3 linked regions of the Lonchura striata genome follow. Each later gene encodes a partner of the first gene's protein in a complex. Links are inferred from orthologs where the notes say so. Each region holds a gene or a part of one and is shown in the gene's direction. Other genes may lie near its edges. The genes, in order: PPP2R2A, ARPP19 and IER5.

Region 1 (7,869 bases):
ACAAATATCACAGCAAATAGATGCAGAAATGCTGTTTTTTGAGTCCTTGTTCCTGTAAGTTCCTCCCACTTCCCAGAGGTCATCTTCAGTCTCAGCTGAAGGAGTTTTTGTATAGAGTAAGAATTAGTCATTAAAGCATGATGGGAGTAGATAAATGCCCATTAAAGCTTTGTGCTGTTGGAGGCTGTGTATAAATTTAACACCATACAGTTACAATCTCCCCAGAGCACCTCAACAAATGCTCAAGCTCCAGAAAAATCCAGGTGTGTGCTCACAAGCTTTGAATCAGGGCTATGGAACACACACTGCCTAATTTGAACCAATCATTCATAGCGTGAACCTCTGAACTACCAAGCAAGTGAACACCCAGGCAAAGGTTGTGGTTCCCAAGATGTCTCACTAATTGCTATGGCTGTAATTTAATGTTATTTATTTATTACGCTCCACTATTTTCTGTAGCTGTTGGTTCACAACAAAAAACTGAAGTGTTTGAGTTACAATCCATCCTCCTAGCACCATGATATTCAATATTTTCTAAGAGAAATTTTATTGTAATTATAAGCTTTCTACTAAGGCTTCATTAATTTCTCTTACAGAGCTAATTGCAGGTCTCTTTGCCATATTTAATTTTTTTTAACAACAAAAGTTCTTGAACCAAGGCTTATTCTGCTATGAGTACAAATTCTGCAGTAATTATACAAAAGACAATGGATGGATTGGACTAGATCTGCAAATTTTCCTGCTAAACAGTTGCAGGACAATTCTGCTTACGTTGAAAAGAGTATGTTTAAAGAATTAATTTAATTTATTAATTAAATTCAGAATTTAAAGAATTCTGAAAAGAGAGGAATGCCAGCTTTCTTGCTGAATTTGGTATAAAGTAAACATGGCCACAAATTTGTAGAATTGAGTGAATTTGCTCTTGAGCTATGGGAAATGTGGACTGGGATGCTTGGGACCAGGGAGTTTGTTTTCGTTGTGATTGTTTCCAAACTTGCAGTGTTTTTGGGTTGCTCTCAAAACAACCCAAGCAAAACACTTGGTTACAGAGATTTCCAAACCTGGGTAAGTTGCAATTCTTTAGAACATCCCATATATGCTGAATGTTCTTTCAAATGTTATTGTTATTTCCAAGATTGATTTATTTGCCTGTGCAATTTTTTTTCTATCATGGATGCAGAGACAAATCAGAATTCCAAAATAACTTGTAATTTGGGCCAGCTGTGGGTTTCTGGTGGCAGCCTGTCTTTTTGTATTCATTTGTGGTATTTAGTTCCTACAGCTCTGTTTCATGGTGGACTTGACAAGCAATTCAATGGTCTTTTCATTTATAAAAGCATCCTCTTAGGTGTTCAGAGATGGAAATGTAGAAATCAGTGTATGGGAGGGTTTTGGAGGCTTGTTCCAAGTCACATTTCAAGTTTGTGGTAGCGCTGGGTTTGCAGGATGAGCTTATGAATCTCCAAGTGAAATCTGGATTAGCAAGATCTACCCAGCCCAAGAAGAATATGTTTGCACAAACATCTTTTAAGGGAAACTGATGACTTTCACAAGATCTTAAATAGATTGTACTGAATTAATTATCCCAGTCCTGTAGTTAACTACAGATGAGACAGTAACTGGGACCCAGCAAGCTAAAAAGGAGCCTCCATCCCTCCCAAGCCAGCAGGAGCTGAGCCAAGCTGGGCTCGGCTGAAAGCCTTTCTTTGTGGATCTTGCTGGCTGTCAGTGTGAAAGGTGGATGGAGGCTAAAAATGGCTCAGGAGCATGGCCGGTGTATGCAGGGAATAGCAATGAGAACAGAGTGAAATCAGAGACCGAGCCCTGGACGTTGTGGAAAGCATCCAAGGGGGTGGAAAATGTGCAAGCAAACAGGTTCTGTGTGCCTGCTGCACGGGCAAATGGCAGGAGGGAGCAAAGGGAAGAGAGGGGGGAAAACACCAAAACCAAAGCACAAGCGAAAGGGAGATGATCTCAGAAATTCAAAGAGAAGGAAATCAGAAGCCTGAAAATAATCTTTCCAGAAAAGATGAAATATCTCAGAATGAGAAGTCCTGGAATAAAGTACAGTTTGCATTTTTTGCTTGCTTTAAATTCTTCCCTGAAGGATTACAGACATGCAAGATGCACAACCTGAGGGATTATCAGGGAAATGTTCTTCACCCTGTAGGGAATGGGCACGGCCCAAGGCCGCCAGAGCTCCAGGAGCGTTTGAACAGCACTCCCAGGGATGCAGAGTGGGATTTTGTGGTATCTCTGCCGGGCCAGCAGCTGGATCGATGATCCTGGTGGATGCTTCCCAACCAGCTCAGGATATTCGGCTTCATGAAGGGCGAGCCTGCGGGAGAGGGGTCAAGGAAGGAAGCTGTTCCTGCAGGGGAGTCCGGGCGGCGGTGGTGGCGGACACCGCAGCACGGAGGGGCTGGGAGCGGGCGATGGCGGCGGCCCCTCCATGAGGGCGGGCAGGGGCCGCGCTGAGGGGCGGCAGTCCCCCCGTGGAGGCGGCCGATCGCTCCAGCCTGAGGGGCGGTAACACCTCCATGAGAGCGGGCAGGGGCCGCGCTGAGGGGCGGCAGTCCCCCCGTGGAGGCGGCCGATCGCTCCAGCCTGAGGGGCGGTAACACCTCCATGAGGGCGGGCGGGGGCTGAGCCGAGCGAGGGTCGTTAGCCCCGCCATGAGGGACACAGCCTCACCATGGGGGTGACTGACGCCGCGCTGAAGGGCGAGTGGAACCGGGCTGAGGGCGGCCGATCGCTGCCGAGCTGAAGCAGCGGCACCCCCGCCATGAGGGCTAACAGGAGCCAGGCACGGACATGGCGGCACCGCCCGCCCTCCTGAGGGCGGCTCGCTCCCGCCCCGCGCTGACGTCACCCCCAGCTCTGCCGGCGCCATCTTGGACGCTCATCGCCGGGGGGGCCGGAGCGGGGCCGCCCCAGCCCCGCCGCGGCCGCCGCCGCCTCCTCCTCCTCCTCCTCCTCCTCCTCCTCCATCCGCCGCCATCGCCGCCCGCCGCCGCCGCCCGCCCCGCGCCGCCCGCCCCGCCCGCGCCGCCCGCTCCGCCCGACCCGCCGCGGCCGCTATCGCCAGCACAACATGGCAGGTAAGGGCAGCCTGCCCCCCTGCCCCGGCGTGGCTCGGGGGACTCTCCCCGCTGCCTCCCGGGCCGCCTCTCCTATTCCGACTCGCTTGCGCCTTGCTGGTTGTGGGGTGGCTTTTTTTTTTTTTTTTTTTTTTTTTTTTTTTAGCCTCTCGTGTGGGAATTCGTGCTTTGCTCCCACCCACCCCTCCTTCCCTCCGTTCCCCGGGAAAAGAAAAAAAAAAAAAAAAACATGGAAGAAGCAAGGTGGAGCGGGAAGTGGTGTGTTTTGGAGTTGAGCTTGCAGGCAGGGTGGGTCTGCTGCCTTTTCGTAGAATCATGGAGTGATTTGGGTGGGAAGGGACCTTAAAACCGGTCCAGTTCCACACCCTGGCATGGGCAGGGGCACCTTCTGCTATCCCAGGTTGCTCTGAGCCTCATCCAGCCTGGCCTTAGACAATTCCAGGGATCCAGGGACAGCCACAGCTGCTCTGGGTAACCTGTGCCAGGGCCTCCCCACCCTCAGAGGGAAGAATTACTTCGCAATATCCCAGCTCAACCTACTCTTTCAGTTTGAACCCATTCCCCCTTGTCCTGTCACCACATGCTCTGGTAAAGAGTTTCCCCCTTGAGGCTTTAGGGTCGGTGCTTGTAGTTATTTCTCTGCCGTGTACAGAGAGGTTCCAGGTGCAGGCGGTGTCCAGATTGCAGTCGCACCCTTCTGTAGGGAGCAGCCTCTGAGCATCTGTAAATGCCACTGAAATTTGGCACAGGGTGTGATTAAACAGCACAGGTCTCGCCGTGTTTTCTTTCCCATTCCTTCCTCTGCTTACTCCCCATTTCACATCCCCAAGTGCTGTTGGTAGGCTTGGGAATGTGTGTGCAGAAAGGATCTCTTCCCTCTTACTTTTCCTTGCATTTTCTTCATTTGGAAATGTATTCATCCCCCTCCTCTGCACGTGAATTGTCTTTTCAGTGCTTTGCATGTGGAGGAGCAAAGCATGGGAGGCTTTGTGAGGCATGTGCTTTGCCTTTCCCCCCTACACCATATGCACATGCTCCACCCTCCTCTTGCCGTTTTAGTCGTGGGGGGGGGAAAGTGCCAACTTGGTTCAAGTAAATTTTATGGAAAAGAGCTCGAAGAAGCAGGAGCAGTGATTCTCTCCGAGCTGTTCCCTTTAAGTGCTGCTATGGTGCCAGCCGCTAAATGACAAACGAAGAAGTTGAAGAGAAGAAAATGGGTTGTAGGATTTTGGGGGAATGATGGGAGGAGGGAAAGCATTTTGCCATCTCCTGCATAGATGGGTTCTGTTGCTTGCTTTCACCTCCTCAGGTTGTGCATCTTGGATGTCTGTAATCCTTCAAGGAAGAATTTAAAGCAAGCAAAAAATGCAAACTGTACTTTATTCCAGGACTTCTCATTCTGAGATATTTCATCTTTTCTGGAAAGATTATTTTCAGGCCTCTGATTTCCTTCTCTCTGAGTTTTTTTGCTCCCCTTAACTTGGGAAGAGTCTCCTCCTGTATTCTTTGTTATCTCCAAAGCCCTACCAGAGCTCGGGATTAATGTGTAAATGCCATCTGTTGCTCAGCCGGTTTGAGTTGTGTGGAGGAAAAGTTCCATTTTGACAGTGGCTTTTGGGAAAAAAAAAAAAAAAAAAAAACCAACAAAAAAACCAACCAACCGAGGCAAGCCCATTTCTGGCTCTTCCTGTATGTCCTCAGCCCTGCAGTGATTTGCTCAGAATGAAATGCAAAAGAAATGGGTGGTGATTTTTGGTGTGTGTTTTTGTGGCACGGTTCAAATGAATCACTGCCTTCAGCCGAGGCAGTAATGTTCCTGAAGTTTTCTCTCCGATCCGTTTTCTATGGTAGTAGAATTTGTCCCCCTCCGATTGCTTGTTTGCTTTTCTGCTCGGATTTGCTGCTTTTTTTTTTAGGCTGATAATTGCTTTCATTACTTCTGCGAAGAGACTCTAAAATTGTGGTAAAATTCTTTTTCTTTAGCCTTGAGTGCTTAGGGTCGGTGCAGTAGGTTTGTGAAAGGAGGAAATGAATTGTGTGCTTGGTTTGTATTGGACAGGAGATTGAAATTTTTTAAAAAAGCACAGCTCTGATAGTTGATATTTAAGCTGTTTGTGTGTGTGTGTGTTTAGGGGGGTTCTGACTCCTCGAGTAGGAAAAAGTTTTGTGTGAAACACAGCAGTTCCTGCACTTGAATTTTAAATTCGTAGTTGATGGTGCTTAGTCCAGCAAGCTTTGAGTGAGTGAAGCTTTTACACTGGTTGTGCTTCCCTGTTTTTGACAAACAGTGCATTGAAGGCTGACAAAAACAATATCCAAAGGAAAAAGGTGGGGAGGGTGGTGTGTGATTGTGCCTCAGCACTGCTGAGGAAGTGGGCGTGCACAGGCTCTGAAATGTGCAATCTGGAGCCATTGTGTGCTTGTGCTGCTGCTCTTGGGGGGGCTCGTTTTTATTGAATTGTTTTCAATTTTCAGGAGCTGGAGGAGGAAATGACATTCAGTGGTGTTTTTCTCAGGTGAAAGGCGCTGTAGATGATGATGTAGCAGAAGGTAAGAGTAATACTTTTTACTGTTTTCTAACTTTTTAACCATTCCTTAGGTGGGGAGATGTGAATGCAGTCAGTAAAATATCCCAGTGCTGCTAAGTGCTCGTTGAGCAAAGCAAATGGACATTTCATATGTATTCCCATATCCAGATTCAGGTTTAAACTGTGATTTGAAAGTACCATTCAGCATTCTTGTAAAAAAGTTCAGGCTTCCTAAGTTATTTTTGCTGGAATTGTTTTCTAACATTGCTAAGATTTTTCTGATTTTTTGGCTTTTGACTTGTGTTTTTTCTTAATCTTCAAAATGGGGAATGTGTTACTTAAATTCCACAAGGAGGTGTTGTTAGAATTAATATTTGTACTCTTTGAAGATCTAAGTACTGCATGAAGGAATTGTCCCAACATTTCTAGCTCCTATTAACAAGAGGCAGAAGAAATCTGCGTATTTGTGCATGCCTACTTAGTATATAAGGAGCAGGTTTGGGTTTGAAATAATGCTGAAAATTGTCTGAAACTTTTCCAAGCTGCCAGTGACAAGTGTCATGTTACACTAAGATGGCTGCCTCTGAATTTCACTGCAAAAACTACTGTTTGGGCTTTTTTCCCTTGGATTTTGGATCATTGGAGGAATGATGCTTTTTTCTGTGCTGGAGAGCAGAATCTCTTCTGTGATCATTCCCGAGGAGAGGTCCCCTGACTTCTGAATTTCTTTGGCCATAAAGTCCTGTTTGCAACAAAGCAGCTTTTAAGATCATGAGTTAAAAGTTTTCTTTTGCAAGTAGTTGGCCTTGTCACTTATGTAATTCCTGTTTTTTTTTATTTTTCTTGCATATCTTGAATGCTCTGACATAGAAGTGAGATTAATGTTATATTTAGAAAAGCAGTAACTACAGTTTCCATTATTTCCCTGCTTGACATGTGGTTCAGATTAGCTTCCAAAGGCCAAAAGAAAAGATTGGTATAAACATAACTGAGTTGTTTTTATTTATTAGCTGCAGCATGTGGCAAACGATGCACTGAGGCTTCTGTTGTTTGCAAGTTGAAATATGTTTTTTGGAAATGAGAAAGCTGTACAGTTTCAAGTTTATTTTTAAATTCTTCAGGAAGTAGATTTTAAAGCTTGAACTCAAAGTGCTGTTAAATGTGGTATATTTTTTTTCCCTGACAGATTTAAAATTTTGTAACCTTTGTTTTATTTATGTATCATACTAAATCCTTAATAAATACAAGTATTGAAGAAGTTGTGGTTGTGGTGAAGTTGTGGTGCTTGCAAATAATTCTTCATTAAAATAGACGTTGGTATGCTTCTAGTAGTAATGAACTTATATATAGGTATAGAAAAGTAGTCTTTACAGGGATTTGGAAATGTAGAAGTGAGGAAATAGGAAGGAAGGACAGGCTGAGCTGTTTTAAGTGTTGCACTTGGTGTTATGAAAGGTGCCTTGCCAGCCTTGTGCCTCCTGCCAGGCTGGGAGCTGCGCTGAGCATTGCTGGAATCCCGGGGTGGACTTCTGGGAAGCCTTTGAGGGAATTAACTGGCTTCAGTTTCAGCAAGCCAGGCAGCTTGGTTCCTGCAGCATTGTAAGAATCTCCATTTTTTGGGTTATAGACAGTGTAGCCTTCTGATTCTGTGACCCAAAGAGTGAAAAGAAATTTTCTTTCATTGTCAGCTATACCTGACTTAGAATGAGTCTTGAGGTCCAAAGTGTATTATACTGTAAGATGGTGTGAAACTGAACTGCCTAGGGAGAGATCCCAAGTATTATTGATGGTGTGCTTGGCTGTAATTAGTGTGTTGAACTGAATTTCTCTCCTGTTCCCATGTATTTGGCTCCCACAGTCCATGCTGGAAGTTGGTGAAAGCAGTTGTTTATATTGATTTGTTGTACATCATAATGCCTCGCTGTAATTCTGTTGGAAGCGTTATGTATCAGGATGGTTGCATTTGTCCTTTTCCTAGTGATATTTCTGGCTTTAAGGTTCATATCAGTGACCTGGAGCCTTGTGTGGCTCTTGCACCAACTGGAGCAGCAGCCTCTGGTCTTTTGGAATACCCAGTGACAAACTGGCAGTGGGTGCAAGTGCAGTCTGAGAACCTTTTTAATTCCCTGCCTTTCCTTCTGCTTTCTTGGGCCAGGCCAACTGTGAAAGCTCAAGGAAATCTTACTGTCTCAAGCTTTAATGACTCTTTAACCACTCTGATCTGCCAGAGAGCAGCTCTG
Region 2 (7,496 bases), on another chromosome or scaffold:
CAGATTGTTTATTTACTTGCTCATGCATTCAGATCGTTAATTCAATTCACATTTTACTCCCTCAATTTATTTTCTTTCCTTAAGGGCCATTTTAATTTTGCTTTCTGTTATTAGTTTCTCTCACATAAAATTTGCACCCTCCCCCATTTTATTTCTCAAATTGTGTTAAAGGATGTACTGTGCAAACAAATTAGTATTTATATCTCAAATATATGCAAAAGCTATGAAACTTGTACTTTTTGTTTTATTTTTAGATGAGAGGATCTTCATGTAATCCTAAATATTTTTCATAGGTCAATTCCATGTAGGCCACTAGGTGGCCATAGGAAGTTTTACTAGAAATGCTACACTGGGCATATCACTATTTTCCAATATGTGTGTGTATTCCTAAAACAAAACAGTCAGATGAACAGTTTATGCTACGTGTTAAACTGTGTAACTGAGAGAAATAAAGTTAGAAGCATTTGATTATATTTGAGCTATATATTTAATAATGGAAATGAAGCTTTATGACATTTGATGATCTGAGTTTCTCAACTGTCTTACCTTGATTTGTGTTTTTCTTTACTTTGCTGTAGGTTTTTAGAGTGTCAGTAATATGCAAGGTGCCCTTTACCATGTTTATCTGATGAAGACTGGAGAAAGGATGAATGTGCGTCCTGTATATTCAGCACTGCCCTTAGATGAGAGAAGTCAGTGTATCATGAAATCTCCAGGAAGTCTGCCAGGGAGCGTAAGGGAGACTGGACTTTCCAGATGATACTCATCAGCTATCTTGTACATGCAAATGACTGCTTCTCCAGAAGGGCAAAGCTCAGATATTACTGAGTCCTTTCCCCTTGTAGCAGTGTTTTCCACTCTGCTACACCAGGCTTTCAAAGGTTTACCTAGCATTCATTTTAGAGAGAATTGGGGAAAAGTGTACAGGAAGAGATTGTTTGCAGTTTCTAGTAATTTGCCCTTTAAAACTGAGAAACAATTTCTTTTGGTAGCAGAAGAGTCAAACACAGCTGCAGCTGTACTGTGTACAGAACTAAGGTCTGGACTAGGGTATCAAGAGGACGTCCTAGTTTTTGTGTAGCTGCTATTGAGTCATAAGCAAACAGCATGTATCCTCAAACTACTTATTTGTGTCATGGTGCACAGCTTGCTTGCATGCTCAATGAAAAAACAACATGAGGAAAGGACACATTTTTAATGAAAAGTCACCATTAGTAGTAGATTAACCTTTTATTTTGCACTATTATGCAATGTTTGTATCTTGATAACTTTATTTAAATAGACTTCTTCAAGTAATATCCTTTCATTTATTTGCTTTGAATAGCAAAGAAATGTGGATTTTAAATATGTGGTTACTACAAGTCATGTCTAGGAAATAAATTTGTATTCACTTTAATAGTCCAACTACACTTAGTCCCTATATGGATTTGGAATGAAAGTGACCTTGGATTATCTTTGCACAACTTTGAATTTATTAAGTCATTCTCCATTTACAGCTTGATCTGAGTAAACACTTTCCATTAAGGACACACCTGGAAAAATGCTGGATGCTCATAAACCATGAACTAAATTCTGCATGACCTTCTAAGCTTAAGACTAGACTAATTTTTGAGAGACCGTTGGTTTCTCCTCTTTATTCCTCAACAGGCTCAACCATATACAACTATTTTTTTAAAATGTTTGAGTGGTTTATAAGGGCCTCCAGTGATGGCTGCTACAACTAACCTCTTCCAGTGATAAATTATACTTATCGTGACAAAGTATAACATTCAGTTATACTGAGTATATACATTTAGTTAAAGTTATATAAGGATTTATAACTTCCAACTAAATGTTGCTGAAGTTAAGTAATACTTAGTCTTTTCACTTACAAGCAAGCAATTTAGTTCTTGTATCTCCCTTCTCAGTCTTTTTTTTTTTTTTTTTAACTAGCACAACCTCAGACTCTTCGGTTAGCCTTTATTTTGTGCACCTCTTGTCATTCTGGTCTTTGCTTTCTTTTGGACTGAATCAGTCTTGAAGTGTGTGAGACTGGACACAGCACCCCAGTCAGGGCCTCTCTGTGCCAGTCAGACTGAAATAATTGGTTGATAAAACATGAATTAAAGTCCTCTTCATGCATCCTGTTGGAATACACTGATTTTCAGTATCAGGAGATGTCAGCTTGCATTCATATGGTTACCCAGTATAAGAGACATCCTACCTGCTTTTTCCCAAAATAGTAGCTCTCCTTATTGAACTTTATTCTCTCACTACCCAAGATTTTATGTGCTGAACACAGCACTGCTGTTTGAAGTATTGATAGCTGTGTCCAACAAACTTGCATCCACCACATTAAAGTTTAATCTAATTAAGTTTCCCTAATTTGCATGGGAAAGTGTCAGAAGCGTTATTAATGCCAGAAGGCATCTGGAACTTCATCCACCTTCACCCACTTCTCCACATGGTCTATTTCCTTTTTCTTAAAGGAAAGATGATTGTGTGAAACCCTTGTTCTTAACTGTGAATTCCTGCCTAGCTACTCAGTTTCTTTTGAGTGCTTATTTTAGATGATTTTTCAAGTCGTTATTGACAGCATAATTATATAGCTTGTATTCTGTCCTCCCCATACTCTAATCCAAATTCAGGAAAAGTGACTCCTGGAAACCCATTCATTTTTTACAGGTTCCTATATGAATCACCAGTAATTAACTGGAGATTGCTTCTGTCATCCTGTAATCTCTTAAGGAAATTCTTTCGTCCAAGTTGAAAATATTTACCAAAACTAATTAAAGTAACCTGCAAACCAGTCATTCCTTATTCCAGCTAGAGGCCATGCTTAGTTTGTTACACTATTTACCTTGATCATGCCAGATTGAACAAAAAGAAACATTAAACACTTTAGTCTTTAAAAGTTTTGTTCAGTAATATTTTGGTACCCCCTTGTCTTCATGATCTGCTTCCTTAAAAACTGACCTAGTTTCTGTAGCCTGCTTTCCTGTATTTGAGACCGCTGAAGAACCTGGGCTTTTCCTGAGGTTCTGAATTTATCTCCCATCTTTGCTCTGCATTATGTTCCCTTAAAGAAATAACTGCATTAAGGAGCTGCTGGATCCTTAAAACTGTTTTCCCTCACATTAATTTCCTAAGAGATTTGAAAGAAATTCCTGGAGTTTGCATTCTTGTCTGCTGTCACTGCTTTGTTCTTCTTTTTAAAATTTATGAACTTCATCCTTTTTATGATCATTTTTCTATGTTGCTATGTTTTTCACACTTTCAGACCATTTCTCCCTGATTTTGCTAGAAGCAAATGTGGCACACCCACCACTATCATGGCTTTTTTCATCATTAGGAAAAAACCCACTGGTGCGTTCTATGATAATTTTTCTGTGCAATCTGCCTGGCTGTATCCCTTTCTGAATGAGGGATATGCCCATTCCTTGGGTTCCCCACAGCTATGTGATGCTGGTCTCTGGATGAATCTCCCAGGTGCACAAAAAACCTCTTCCACCTACTGGCTTGTGGGGCATTCAGTACAATTCAGCTTTGACAAAATCGTTGACAGCTTCATCTTTCACAGACTTTTCTGACCTGGCTCCTGTGTTCTTCCCGACCATAATCGCACAAAGCCTGTCCTGGCCAGTCCCTCCTGAGCTGTGCTAATCCATACCTTGCTGTTCACATAATCCATTTATTTAGGGACCCCTAAAGGATTATTAATGGTGGGCTATTTAAACTGCTCCTTTACCACAGAAGGTTCCATTTCAGCCAAGAACCACACAGTGATGGGGAGGGAATAAAATACTCTGTATAAGTTGATACTGTGCTGTTAAGAAGTTCCAATGGACTGAGCGTTCATGTCCTGTCAGCTGCTGTCTGGGATTCGTGAGATCCTCGAGTAATGCTGCTGAGGACTCGGCTCCCTGTATTTTGATCACTAGAAGTGGCCAAAAGAGCCGAGTTTAGCTCGGCAGTGGAGGTTTTTCCCTTTGCCCCGATCTGAGAAGGGGCGGCCACGCAGGCTGGGGTCAGGGGGCTGTGGGGAGGTGAGGTGAGCTGGGGCCAGTGCGGGGACCAGGGGAATGGCCTTAAGCGGAGTCTGGGGCGAGTCACATTAGGTATTAGAGGAATTTATTTCACTGTTCGGCTGGTCAGGCTGCCCAGGCAGGCGCTGGAGTCACCATCCCTGGAGGTGTTTAAAAGACGGATGGCTCTGGCGCCGGGTGACGTGGTTTAGTGGTTACAGTGACGCCCGTGAGGGTGGACTGGACCACACTGAACGTCCTTCCAACCCTGACGTTTCTGTAATTCTGATTCTAACGGGAGGGGCACCGGACCCGGGCCTCGAACCCGCGACCCCGGACGTGACGCGCGGGGCGCAGGCGGATCCCGCCCCCGCTCCCCAGCCCGCGCGCGGGGGCCGAGGCGGAGGAAGTCTGGCCCCGCCGCCGCTCCGTCGCGCCCGCCGCCGCCATCTTGTGCGAGAGGAGGCGGCAGCAGCAGCAGCGCGGAGGAGCCGCGGCCGCGCCTCCCGCCCGCCTCCTTCCCTCGCTCCCTGCTTCCCTCCTTCCCGGCCCCGCTGCCGCGCCGCCATGTCTGCCGAGAGCCCCGAGCCCGCCTCGGCCGAGGAGCAGAAGGTGGGTGGCCGGGCCGAGGAGCGCAGGGAGCCCCGCGGGGCCTCTCCCGCCTCCATCGGCGCGGCCGGGCCTGTCCGTCCCTCAGCGCGGGGAGCCCCGCGGGCCGCAGCGGCTCCGGGCCCGGCCGCGCTCAGAGCAGCGCCCGCCCCGGGCTGCGGAGCGCGGCCGGGCCGTGTGGGCTGCGGCGGAGGGGCCGCAGCGCCAGGATGGCTCGGGAGGGCCGTTCCCGCTGCGGGCGCTGTGCGCTGGCCCTGCGGCCCGACGTGCCGGGCCGGAGGCGCTGCCTCGCTCGTTCCTCGGCCCCGGCCCCGCTCCCTCCGGCCCTCCGCGGGCCGGCCTGCGTGATGGCTTCGGCTCACGGCGGGATGGACACCAGCCCTGATCCACTTCTAAAAAATGTTCAGTTTTTAGTGTAAGCAATGCAGGAGAAGAAATCCCCAAATCACAGCGACCGTGACCTGTGCTAGTTAAGGCTTTTAGAAAGAATAACTGGCTGGGTTATCTTGTGGCGTCCCTCTTATGCCATCTCTGTAACTAATAATTGTGCCATTGCTCAAGTGGGGTTTGGTTTCACGGCTGTGCTGTGACTTTAAGAAGCCGTTTGTTTTTTAGTCTTGTCATTGCTGTGGGAGCCCGGTTGCAATCCCCGCGGCTATGATCCGGAGAAGTTATGAAACACAAGTACTGCTTTGAAGGACGCTAAAAGAAAAAGCTTAATCTACATCAGCTATTAAGTTTTTGTTTAATAATTTACAATTTGTAATATGAGTTAGTCGCACAGGTAGAGCTTTGGGGATTAATATGGAATGATACCTTTTCAGTAGGTGCAGTAATCAGAACCAGCTTCTTGTCAGCTCTGTAATCTGCTCTTAAATAGGTGTGTTCTGCAGCGTGACTGAACGTTCATGCTAGGTAGGCTGCTGAAGGGATACTGTTCCTGTTCAAAGCCTATAAAAATAAGTCCCTGGCCTATGCAGCGCTCCTAGAATAGCTCTGTAATAAGAGCATAGTTAAACATGTGGCAGCAAGTTTATTGTAATGCCTTCTAGGGTGTTCTGATGAAGTCAGGTGACAGGCTGATTTTCCTAACGAACTTCCAGACTGAAGTCTTGAAATGTCTGCTGGGAGAAATTACCTTTCACTTGAGAGATGGGAGGTCCTTGCTGCTATCCTAATTTAGTTTTATTCTGGTAAAGTGTTCAAGAAAAATTATATAACGTCAATAAAATAAAACTTGGATTATGTCCTGGTCTGATACTGTGATATCAGTGCTGTTATGACATTGCAATATTAACCTCCACTAAAGCTATTTGTCTGGGTAGGCAGAACTGAGCATTCACTCGGTTAATGCTTGGCTCTGAAACACTTACATAAACAACCCATTTTGCAGTACTTATTCATGTATGCTTCAGAAAGATGCCGCCCCTAAATGAACTTTGAGACAGTGTTTTCATGATCAGAGCTTTTTTCTAAACTTTCTGACATGCTGTAAGAAGCTTGTGCCGAGCAAGAAAGGTTTTTAACTACAGTGGTATAAACTGAAAATCTGCCAAAGACCAGCGTTTCCTGTTCTTGGTGTGAAAACTCAGGACAGTGGTGGGGGAAAGTTCAGAAACAAAGAAACTTTGGACATAGGAGAACGTATGTCTGGTTGAGCCTGTATTTTTCAGGAAGACCTTGGAGGTGGTGCATTTTGTTGCTGAATTGGTCTTTGCCACATTAGTTTGCTGTGGGGTTGTGCTGTTGCCGTGTTTTTTCCCATTTTCTGCTTTGCACTTTGAAGTCTTCTACTAAAGATGAGCCATTCACACCAGAGTTTTAAAAGGCTGATGGCTTTTTTTTTAAGTCATGCAGGTCACTTGTCCAGCAGATACAGAACTTAATGCTGCTGGAACCTCTGCAAAGATTAAAATCAAAAGCTGTCTTTAGGTGAGTTAGGTAACTACTGCCTTCCTGGTAGATAATTTTAATGACTTCATGAGCTGTGTCATATTCCTGTAGAGAACTAAAATTATAACTTTTGTGTGGTTGTCACTTGGAAGAAGAGCGTGGTGTATCTTGATTTCTGCCCACTCCCCAGTCATTTGTTAGTCACTTGGTTGTTGCTTCTGTAATTCAAGGGAGAATGTTCTGAATGTGGGAGTGGCTTGGACTAAAGTCTTCGGGCTCAGCAGCCCATCTCTGAGAATGCTCAATACCATTTAGTCCTCAGAAGAATATAAGATCAGGACGTGCAGCCGGTGATCAGCTCAAGAAAACTCTCCGAGATCTCAGCAATCTGGTTTGAAAGGCTTCTGAGCTGCAAATGAACACATCGAATTGCTCTCTGAATCCAAATTCTTGGCACTCCCTGTATCCTTCAGCAAGGAGTTCTGCAGCTTAACTGTGTTTGACGTGAAGAACTGTTGTCTTAAGTATATTTTGAACCTGCCGTCAGCTAGTTTTGTTTGGCACCCCGAGTCGTGGTACTGAAATTCTTTAGTTTGTGTTCTGTGGGTTTTTGAGTCTTTGTTGTTGTCGGTCATCAAGAAGAAGCGGCCGTGCTCTGTATCCTTCTGAGTTGCATTGATGCATAACACGATGTGTTTGTTTGGATTGCCTGCTGTGCCATAATTTGTCAGCCCTGTGAGTTTGCATAAATGTCTCCTTTGATGCACCGTGAATGCATATTTATATAAGCTATTTATTGTTGGTCCTTTTATCTTAAAAAATACTTCCTTTTGGCAAAAATACGTCTTTTGGCTTTTAGTGGCAAAATGTACCTCCTCAAATATTTTGTCTGTTGGCTTAGCAGTGAGTACCCAGTGATTCAGCATTAGGTGTTCCAAGTGTTGAGCTGAAAGGATTACTTTTGAGCAAATCCAGTCTGTGGTGGCATTC
Region 3 (6,300 bases), on another chromosome or scaffold:
GAAGGTGGACTACAATAGGAGGGTTGTCTGATAGGAAACCCCAGACAAATAAATGCATTTTTTCCCCAGGAAACCCAAACCAGTACCATAACCCACTGAAAGATGAGGGGGTCACATTTTTTCCAAGGGAAACAGATGCCTAAAGAAGCTGATAGCTGGGAGTGGGATTTTTTTTCCCCCTCATTGTGTTTGGAGAGGTTGTTGGAGGAGCAGCAGGATATCTGATGGGCAGAGGGACAGGTCACTGTTCTCCAGGGGAGCAGAGGGAAATCCCAGGCCAGTGGCTCAGAAGGAGAGAAGGGAAATTTTAAATCATTTGTGCAGGAGGAATCCCAGATCACTGGTGAAAATTAAAAAAAAAAAAAAAGTGTAGGAAAGAGTCTTGCCTGCCTGGGATAGTAGCACTATGATCTCTGCCATGGGAAGGGGGTTTTAACCCTGGAAAACCCCTTTGCTTTCTAGTACACGGCTGTGCTGCAGGCTCACACCTCACTGTGGTTTTGGGGCGGGTGTCTCAGCGCTCTCAGAAGCCAGGGGAGCTGCTTCCTCTCCTCTGGGTTTAGGTTTGTATTGATTTGTTTGTATTTGTTTCACTTGTGTTTGTTTTTCATTCATCAGCGATTAGTGTTTGGCTCTCTGGGCTGTGTTTTGGGATGTTTCCCAGCTTTTCTGACCTTATCTCCAAGCAAGGATAAAGCAGAGCAGTTGGGAACCCTGGGGGATTAGTTACCAATATCCGATTGTGGCACGTCCAGACTGCATCCACGTGAATCATTGATTTTTCTGGGGAAAAAACCCAACCCAAGACAACCTTCCTCTCTTACTCCTGAGCCCCACATGGGTGCCTTGCAATTAGATGTTTATTCCCATCCAGAAATGAACTCAAGCTGCGGATAGATTCCCATTTGGAAACGTTCTTCCCGGTCCTGTTTTGTTTACGTCAGCAATCACTGGGGGACGTGCCTGGATCTCCCTGGGGTTTTGGCTGTCCTGAAGTTCTGTTTTTGCTCCAGGCAGCTGTTGGTGCCAAGGCTTTTGCCTCAGCACCGCTGGTGGTGAGGGGCTTTTGATGGATTTGTTCACATCCTCCTCTCAGGATGGGTCTAATTCATGAATCCTGGTGCGAATAGAAGAGAGAGGCATCGATGCACGGCAGCAGCACTGGGACAGCCGCTGGTGGATGACTTCAGCGTGTGCTTCGAGGACACCCTAATTTCACTGTCCATCCCAGCTGGAGGGTTTTCCACCTCTTTCCTGCATCCGGCTTCCCCCTGGGGCCTGGGCCGCACATTTGGTGACAGCGAGGAGCTGGCGGGGGGCTGAGGAAGGGGTCAGGCGCCGCTGTCGGAACAGGATCTCGCTAACCACATCCTCATTCCGCGGGGGGCCGTGCTGGGAGCCAGATGGCCGGGCCGGGCCGGGATGGGAAGGGCCGGGACGGAGCTCAGCCAGGCTCGGGGACCGGCAGAGCCGCGATGCTGCCGGAGCTGGGGCTCCCCCAGCATCCCCCGCCGCTCCCGGCCAAGATGCGACCGCACGAATCCCCAGCGAGCATCCCGGCGCCGACCTCCTCTGCTCGGAATTGAAACGCTTCCAAAAAAGCCGGGGGCGTGCGCGCAGCCCTCTGCAATTATTAGTCGTACCACAAGCTGCTTCCTCCCTCCCTCGAGCCGCTTTTATGTCGCATTGTTTTCCTTTCCAGGTGGCCCACCGGGGCTGCCTCCTCGCCACCGCGCCGGCCGCAGCTCTGCTGGCGGAGAGGCCACCTTTGTCTGCCAGCCAGCCCGGCCCTTCCTCCCCCTTCCTCCTCCTCCTCCTGCTCCCGTGCCAGAGCTATTTCGGGAAACAGCAGCTGAGCCGGAGGATTGTTAATTGTTCGTCAAACCCCTTCCAACCCCGCCGGATCACATGCGGAGATTAGAGCGGCCGGTCACACCCTTTCCCTCCGCCTCCTTCTCCTGGATCCCCCCCTGACCCGCAGGGCTGGGGGCGATGTCCCTTCCGCGGGGCGGGCGGAGGGATGGACCGGGGGGTGCATCCAGCTGTGCCCAGCTGTGGGAAGCGCGGCGATGCCGAGCCGCGGCTAGCAGCGGATCGCCGTGCTCGGAGGGCAGCCCCGGGCGCGGGCAGGAGCCTCGGGGCAGCCACAAGGAAGGCAGACAAAGCCACCCCAGGCGCTGACCTCAGAAGCCGCCATGTGACTCGGCCTCAAAGTTACTAAAGCATGACATCAGCCGGGGAGGGAGCGGCAGAGCTGCCACCAAAATATGCCTGCCTTCAACCGGCTGCTCGTCCTCGCCCGTGGATCCCCCCCACTCCCGAGGATAATTGCCATTCATGGTAGTTCCTGCTGGAAAACAAATGGAAAAGATCGCTTTGACACGCAAAAAGCCAGCCTAGTCTTTGGGTCGTTCCCAGGGATAAGAATGTGTCTGTGAAGCAACCCACTTTAGATAATGATATACGTATTGATATAGTGTGTGTGTGCACCTTTGCTTTGGCAAATGTCCTGGACCGTGATTCTGAGATGAGATGTTGTTGTGGAAAAGGAAAAACCATCATCCCACCTCTGCAAAGGGCACGGAGAGCAGGCAGATGTCGAGGCAGAGCTTTGGTGCCCTAGGAATACCGTGCTGATGGTTGTGCCTGACACCAGACGTGGTGTTGGTGGGTGAAACTCGTGGTGCTGGGTGCCAGCTCTCCTGCACCTCTGCCCCTCCCTGCTGGTGCTCTGTCTGAGCACTGAGAGGGACGAGGGATCACTCAGTCCCCATCCCCATCCTGCTAATCCCTGGCCAGAGCCGGGAGGGGCTGCTGGCCCGCCTGCTCCCAGGCAGGGTAGCGGCCAAAAGGCAGTGCCTGCAGAGAAGTGGTGCCTCATGCCATGGGGGTGAGGTGGTGAGCAGCAGAACAGGTCAGTCTGCTCCGATCCAGGCATCTTCACCCCGCAGAGCTCCCACGCTCTGCCTCCTCCACCCGCCTTGGGCTTTTCCCAGCTGGTGTGATGACTTTGCACTGCTGCTTTTAGTCCCCGAGTTGGGATATGCCTAGCTGAGAGATGCATCAAATCTGACTTTCTGACCCTTTGCTGAAGATGCAAGTGCCCAGATCTGGCAAACAGTAGTCCCAGAGCTGGCCTTGCATCTCCCAGGCACACAGCCAGCCCTGTGCCACCAAGGGGACACTGGTGGCGGGTGAAGAGCCGTGACTGCACTCGCAGGCATGCAAGCCCAGAGCTGCCCTGGCTGGTTAGGCTGACCCGAGGGCTCAGGACAGGGTGTTGCTGGCCCTGCGAGGGGCGGGGAGCAGGTTTGGCAGGTCGGGAAAGCCTCGGTTCCCACCGCTGGAGCTCGCGTCCCTCCGGCCTCCCACGCCGGGTGTGGAGGGGACAGCCCCGCTCCCTGCGGCCAGGACAGGCTCTCCCTGCTGTGGGCTAAGCTGGGACCTTGTGTCTGTGGGACTTTTTGTCTGTGGGGGAAGCCAGGCTTGGCTGTTTTGGCCGTGTGGCTGAGAGTGCCCCGCTCGGGTCACTTCAGATGGAGCACGGCAGGTTTGGTGGAGAAGGGCTGGGCATTTTGAGATGTCAACATCCAGGCTGAGATGCTATTGTGTCTGACACCCAGAGAGTGACATTTTGAGGTTTACCATCTGTGTTTGACCAGGAGGAAAACATACATTTGTCCTGAGCACGGTTTTTTTTTTTTGAAGAAGGCTCTTGCTATGTCAACTATGCATTGGTGTGGCCTCATCTTCACTTTTTTTTTTTTTTGTTACCTCTGTGACCCGCCACCCTTTTTTCCTTCTAGAAGGCCAGGACATGGCGACAGGTTGTGCCAACAAAACATCATGATAGCCTGTGGCTTTCCCTTGGGGGAGTTTGTGGATTCATCCCCTGGGGAAAAAAGGGATGGAAGCAAGTTGTTATATGTCATCTGGGAATGGAAACTGATACTCTGGGGCAGCATGTTGAACTTCCTTAATTTTAGGCCCTTTCACTTCTTTTCTGTTTGCAAGTGGTGGTTAGTCCTTGGTGGAAGGAGGAAGGTCTGCACACCAAGCTCTGAAACACCCTCCAAGCTTTCTTGGATGCCTCCCTGGTGCCTGCAGCTGTGTCTGGGGGCTGCATGTGTTGTCTCCTCTGTCCCTCAGCCACCTGGATGATCCTGCCACCAGCTTTCACAGTAAGATTCCAGCTCCCAAACAAGATGCTCCAGTTTGCCGTGGTCCCCATCACACTTGGAGATGCTCTATTTGCCCTCCCCTACAGCCTTTCCCAGCCCTGTTGTGGATCTTCTCTCTGCCCTGGGCTTTCTGGGAGCTTCACTGCCAGGCCCCTGGAGCAGAATTCTGCCTGGCAGCTGGGCAAGCACGGCTTTGTTCCACATCAGGGCAGATTTTCCCTGAAATCCTCACAGACACATTTCACCCTCCAGCCATCACCACCACCAGCTCCTTCTCTAGCGCAGTAAGATCCCAGACAAGGGGCTGAAATTGCGGGAAACGTCCCCAACCTGACAAAACGGAGGCTGCGCTGGGTTGGATTTGTTTTGTTCGGTTTGTTGTCTGTTGTTTTTCCCTCCCCAGGGAAACGTTTCCATCGCTTTGGCCGAAATTCCCCGCGCCGCCCGCGTGGGGTTCCGCGGTGGGCCCCACCCGCGCGGCGCGCTGGCGTTGCCGCTTTAAGAGCCCTCTCCGCGGGGCGAGCTTTCGAACGCGCTGCCCTGCGCCGCCATTGGCCGGAGCGCGCGCGCGGGGGCCAGCCGGCGGTTGGAGCGGCCGGCGGCGCTCCCTGATTGGCCGAGGCGGGGGCGGTATAAAAGGCGGGCGGGCGCGTGGGCTCGCTCAGTCTGCGGCGCGAAGGGGCGGCGTGCGGAGCTGGGGTGAGGCACGGGTCGCCGCTCGGCTCGGGGTTTTAACTGTTTTTTTTTAAATCACCCCCCCCTTCGCCCACCTGCTTTCCCCATGGAGTTCAAGCTGGAGGCGCATCGCATCGTCAGCATCTCTCTAGGCAAGATCTACAGCGCGCGGGGCCAGCGCGGCGGCCTGAAGCTGCACAAGAACCTCCTGGTGTCGCTGGTGCTGCGCAGCGCCCGACAGGTCTACCTGAGCGAGCCGGGCTGCCCGCCCGAGCCGCCCCCCGCGCCCGCCGGCCACCCCGAGGAGGAGCCGCCGCCCCGCACCGCCGCCTGGGCGGCCGAGGAGCCGCCGCCGCCCCCGCAGGACGAGGCGGGCAGGGACTGCCAGGGCCCCCGGCCGCGGCGCTGTTGCTGCGGCGAGAACCGCGGGGGCTGCGCCGGGGCCCCCCCGCCGCCGCACTGCCCCCGCAAGCGGAGCGCCGGCGAGCGCGGCCAGGCGGGCTCCCCGGTGAAGAAGCCCCGCCGCGAGGAGGAGGAGCCGCCGCCGCTGCCACCGCCGCCCTCGCCGCCGTGCGAGCAGGAGGACATGGAGACGGGCAACGTGGCCAGCCTCATCAGCATCTTCGGCTCCAGCTTCTCGGGACTGCTCAGCAAGGAGCCCAAGGGCCGGCGGCGACCGCCTCTGGACGGCGGCGAAGCGGCGGCGGGCACGGCGCCCGCCGAGGCGGCGGCCGAGCCGGGACAGATCTGCTGCGACGAGCCGGTGCTGCGGACCCTCAACCCCTGGAGCACGGCCATCGTGGCCTTCTGATGGCCCGGCCGCAGAGACTGGCTCCCCGCCGCGGGCCGCGGGGCCCGGAGGTGACACCCACCGAGCGCCGCGGGGCTCCGGCGCCGGCCAGACCCGGCGCCCTGCGCCGCCGCACGGGAGGGACCGCGGGGCAGCGGCGGCAGCGCTTCCCCGTTCCCCGCCGGGTCCCGGCTGCCGGCACCCGCCCTGGGAGCGCCCCCGGCCCTGCCCTCCCGGAATTCCCCTTCCCGGCAGAGCCGCCGCCGCCCTCCCCGGCGCCCGGGGGAGGCTCCTCGGCTGCCGCCGACCCCGGGGGCGCCCCCGGCGGGTGATATTTTAAGCTTGGAAAGTATTAAGTTTATTAAATAAAGTCTCTATTTTGGAAAGGTTTAGGTCAGAACTATTACATGGTGCTTTTTAAAAGTGTTTATTGAGAGGAACGAAGTTTACAGACGCTCTGACGGAAAGTCCTTGAGCCTGTTTGTTAGGCTTGGTAACTCCCGGTCTTTGTTGTATAAAGGCTTGGGGCTCCCGTAGGGAATTTTGTACAGTGTTCTCCTTCAGTGATGTATCATGTTTTGTATAAAATGTAATTTCTACGTGTACAACACGTATTAAATATTTTCAAGTGTATGAGCCTAGTTCCTGTTTGTG

Evidence for each region.
Region 2: the proteins of PPP2R2A (region 1) and ARPP19 are in contact, whole or in part, in a cryo-EM structure (PDB 8TTB), measured with the Homo sapiens proteins. The link is inferred for Lonchura striata from reciprocal best matches to the Homo sapiens genes PPP2R2A and ARPP19. Residues at the interface, in NP_002708.1 of Homo sapiens: Lys18, Gly19, Ala20, Asp23, Asp24, Asp29, Ile31, Thr45, Asp47, Gly49, Arg51, Val53, Phe55, Val73, Thr76, Gln78, Glu81, Pro82, Glu83, Phe84, Leu87, Lys88, Ser89, Glu91, Glu93, Tyr178, His179, Asp197, Leu198, Asn221; in NP_001293124.1 of Homo sapiens: Lys42, Pro43, Gly44, Ser46, Phe48, Leu49, Arg50, Arg52, Leu53, Lys55, Lys58, Tyr59, Phe60, Asp61, Lys75, Pro93, Asp97, Leu98, Pro99, Pro103, Leu105, Val106, Ala107, Ser108, Lys109, Leu110, Ala111.
Region 3: the proteins of PPP2R2A (region 1) and IER5 are in contact, whole or in part, in a cryo-EM structure (PDB 8UO5), measured with the Homo sapiens proteins. The link is inferred for Lonchura striata from reciprocal best matches to the Homo sapiens genes PPP2R2A and IER5. Residues at the interface, in NP_002708.1 of Homo sapiens: Glu91, Ile92, Glu93, Glu94, Asp116, Tyr178, His179, Asp197, Leu198, Met222, Leu225, Thr226, Glu227, Val228, Thr230, Ser247, Phe280, Phe281, Glu283, Ile284, Ser287, Cys334, Tyr337, Glu338, Asn339, Asp340, Phe343, Lys345; in NP_057629.2 of Homo sapiens: Ala7, Arg9, Ile10, Ile13, Ser14, Lys17, Arg25, Gly26, Lys29, Leu30, His31, Lys32, Leu34, Leu35, Val36, Leu38, Val39, Leu40, Arg41.

What each region holds. Positions count from the first base shown.
Region 1 is NC_134634.1:2,457,907-2,465,775, reverse strand, and holds the start of PPP2R2A (serine/threonine-protein phosphatase 2A 55 kDa regulatory subunit B alpha isoform), read left to right. Parts: upstream 1-4,839; coding exon 4,840-4,948; intron 4,949-5,576; coding exon 5,577-5,651; intron 5,652-7,869. UniProt on the Homo sapiens protein: Substrate-recognition subunit of protein phosphatase 2A (PP2A) that plays a key role in cell cycle by controlling mitosis entry and exit. Involved in chromosome clustering during late mitosis by mediating dephosphorylation of MKI67.
Region 2 is NC_134613.1:12,459,196-12,466,691, forward strand, and holds the start of ARPP19 (cAMP-regulated phosphoprotein 19), read left to right. Parts: upstream 1-4,439; 5' UTR 4,440-4,571; coding exon 4,572-4,616; intron 4,617-6,724; exon of another isoform or gene 6,725-7,081; intron 7,082-7,095; exon of another isoform or gene 7,096-7,241; intron 7,242-7,496. UniProt on the Homo sapiens protein: Protein phosphatase inhibitor that specifically inhibits protein phosphatase 2A (PP2A) during mitosis. Inhibition of PP2A is enhanced when ARPP19 is phosphorylated.
Region 3 is NC_134611.1:2,038,610-2,044,909, reverse strand, and holds IER5 (immediate early response gene 5 protein), read left to right. Parts: upstream 1-4,858; 5' UTR 4,859-4,962; coding exon 4,963-5,667; 3' UTR 5,668-5,756; downstream 5,757-6,300. UniProt on the Homo sapiens protein: Plays a role as a transcription factor. Mediates positive transcriptional regulation of several chaperone genes during the heat shock response in a HSF1-dependent manner. Mediates negative transcriptional regulation of CDC25B expression.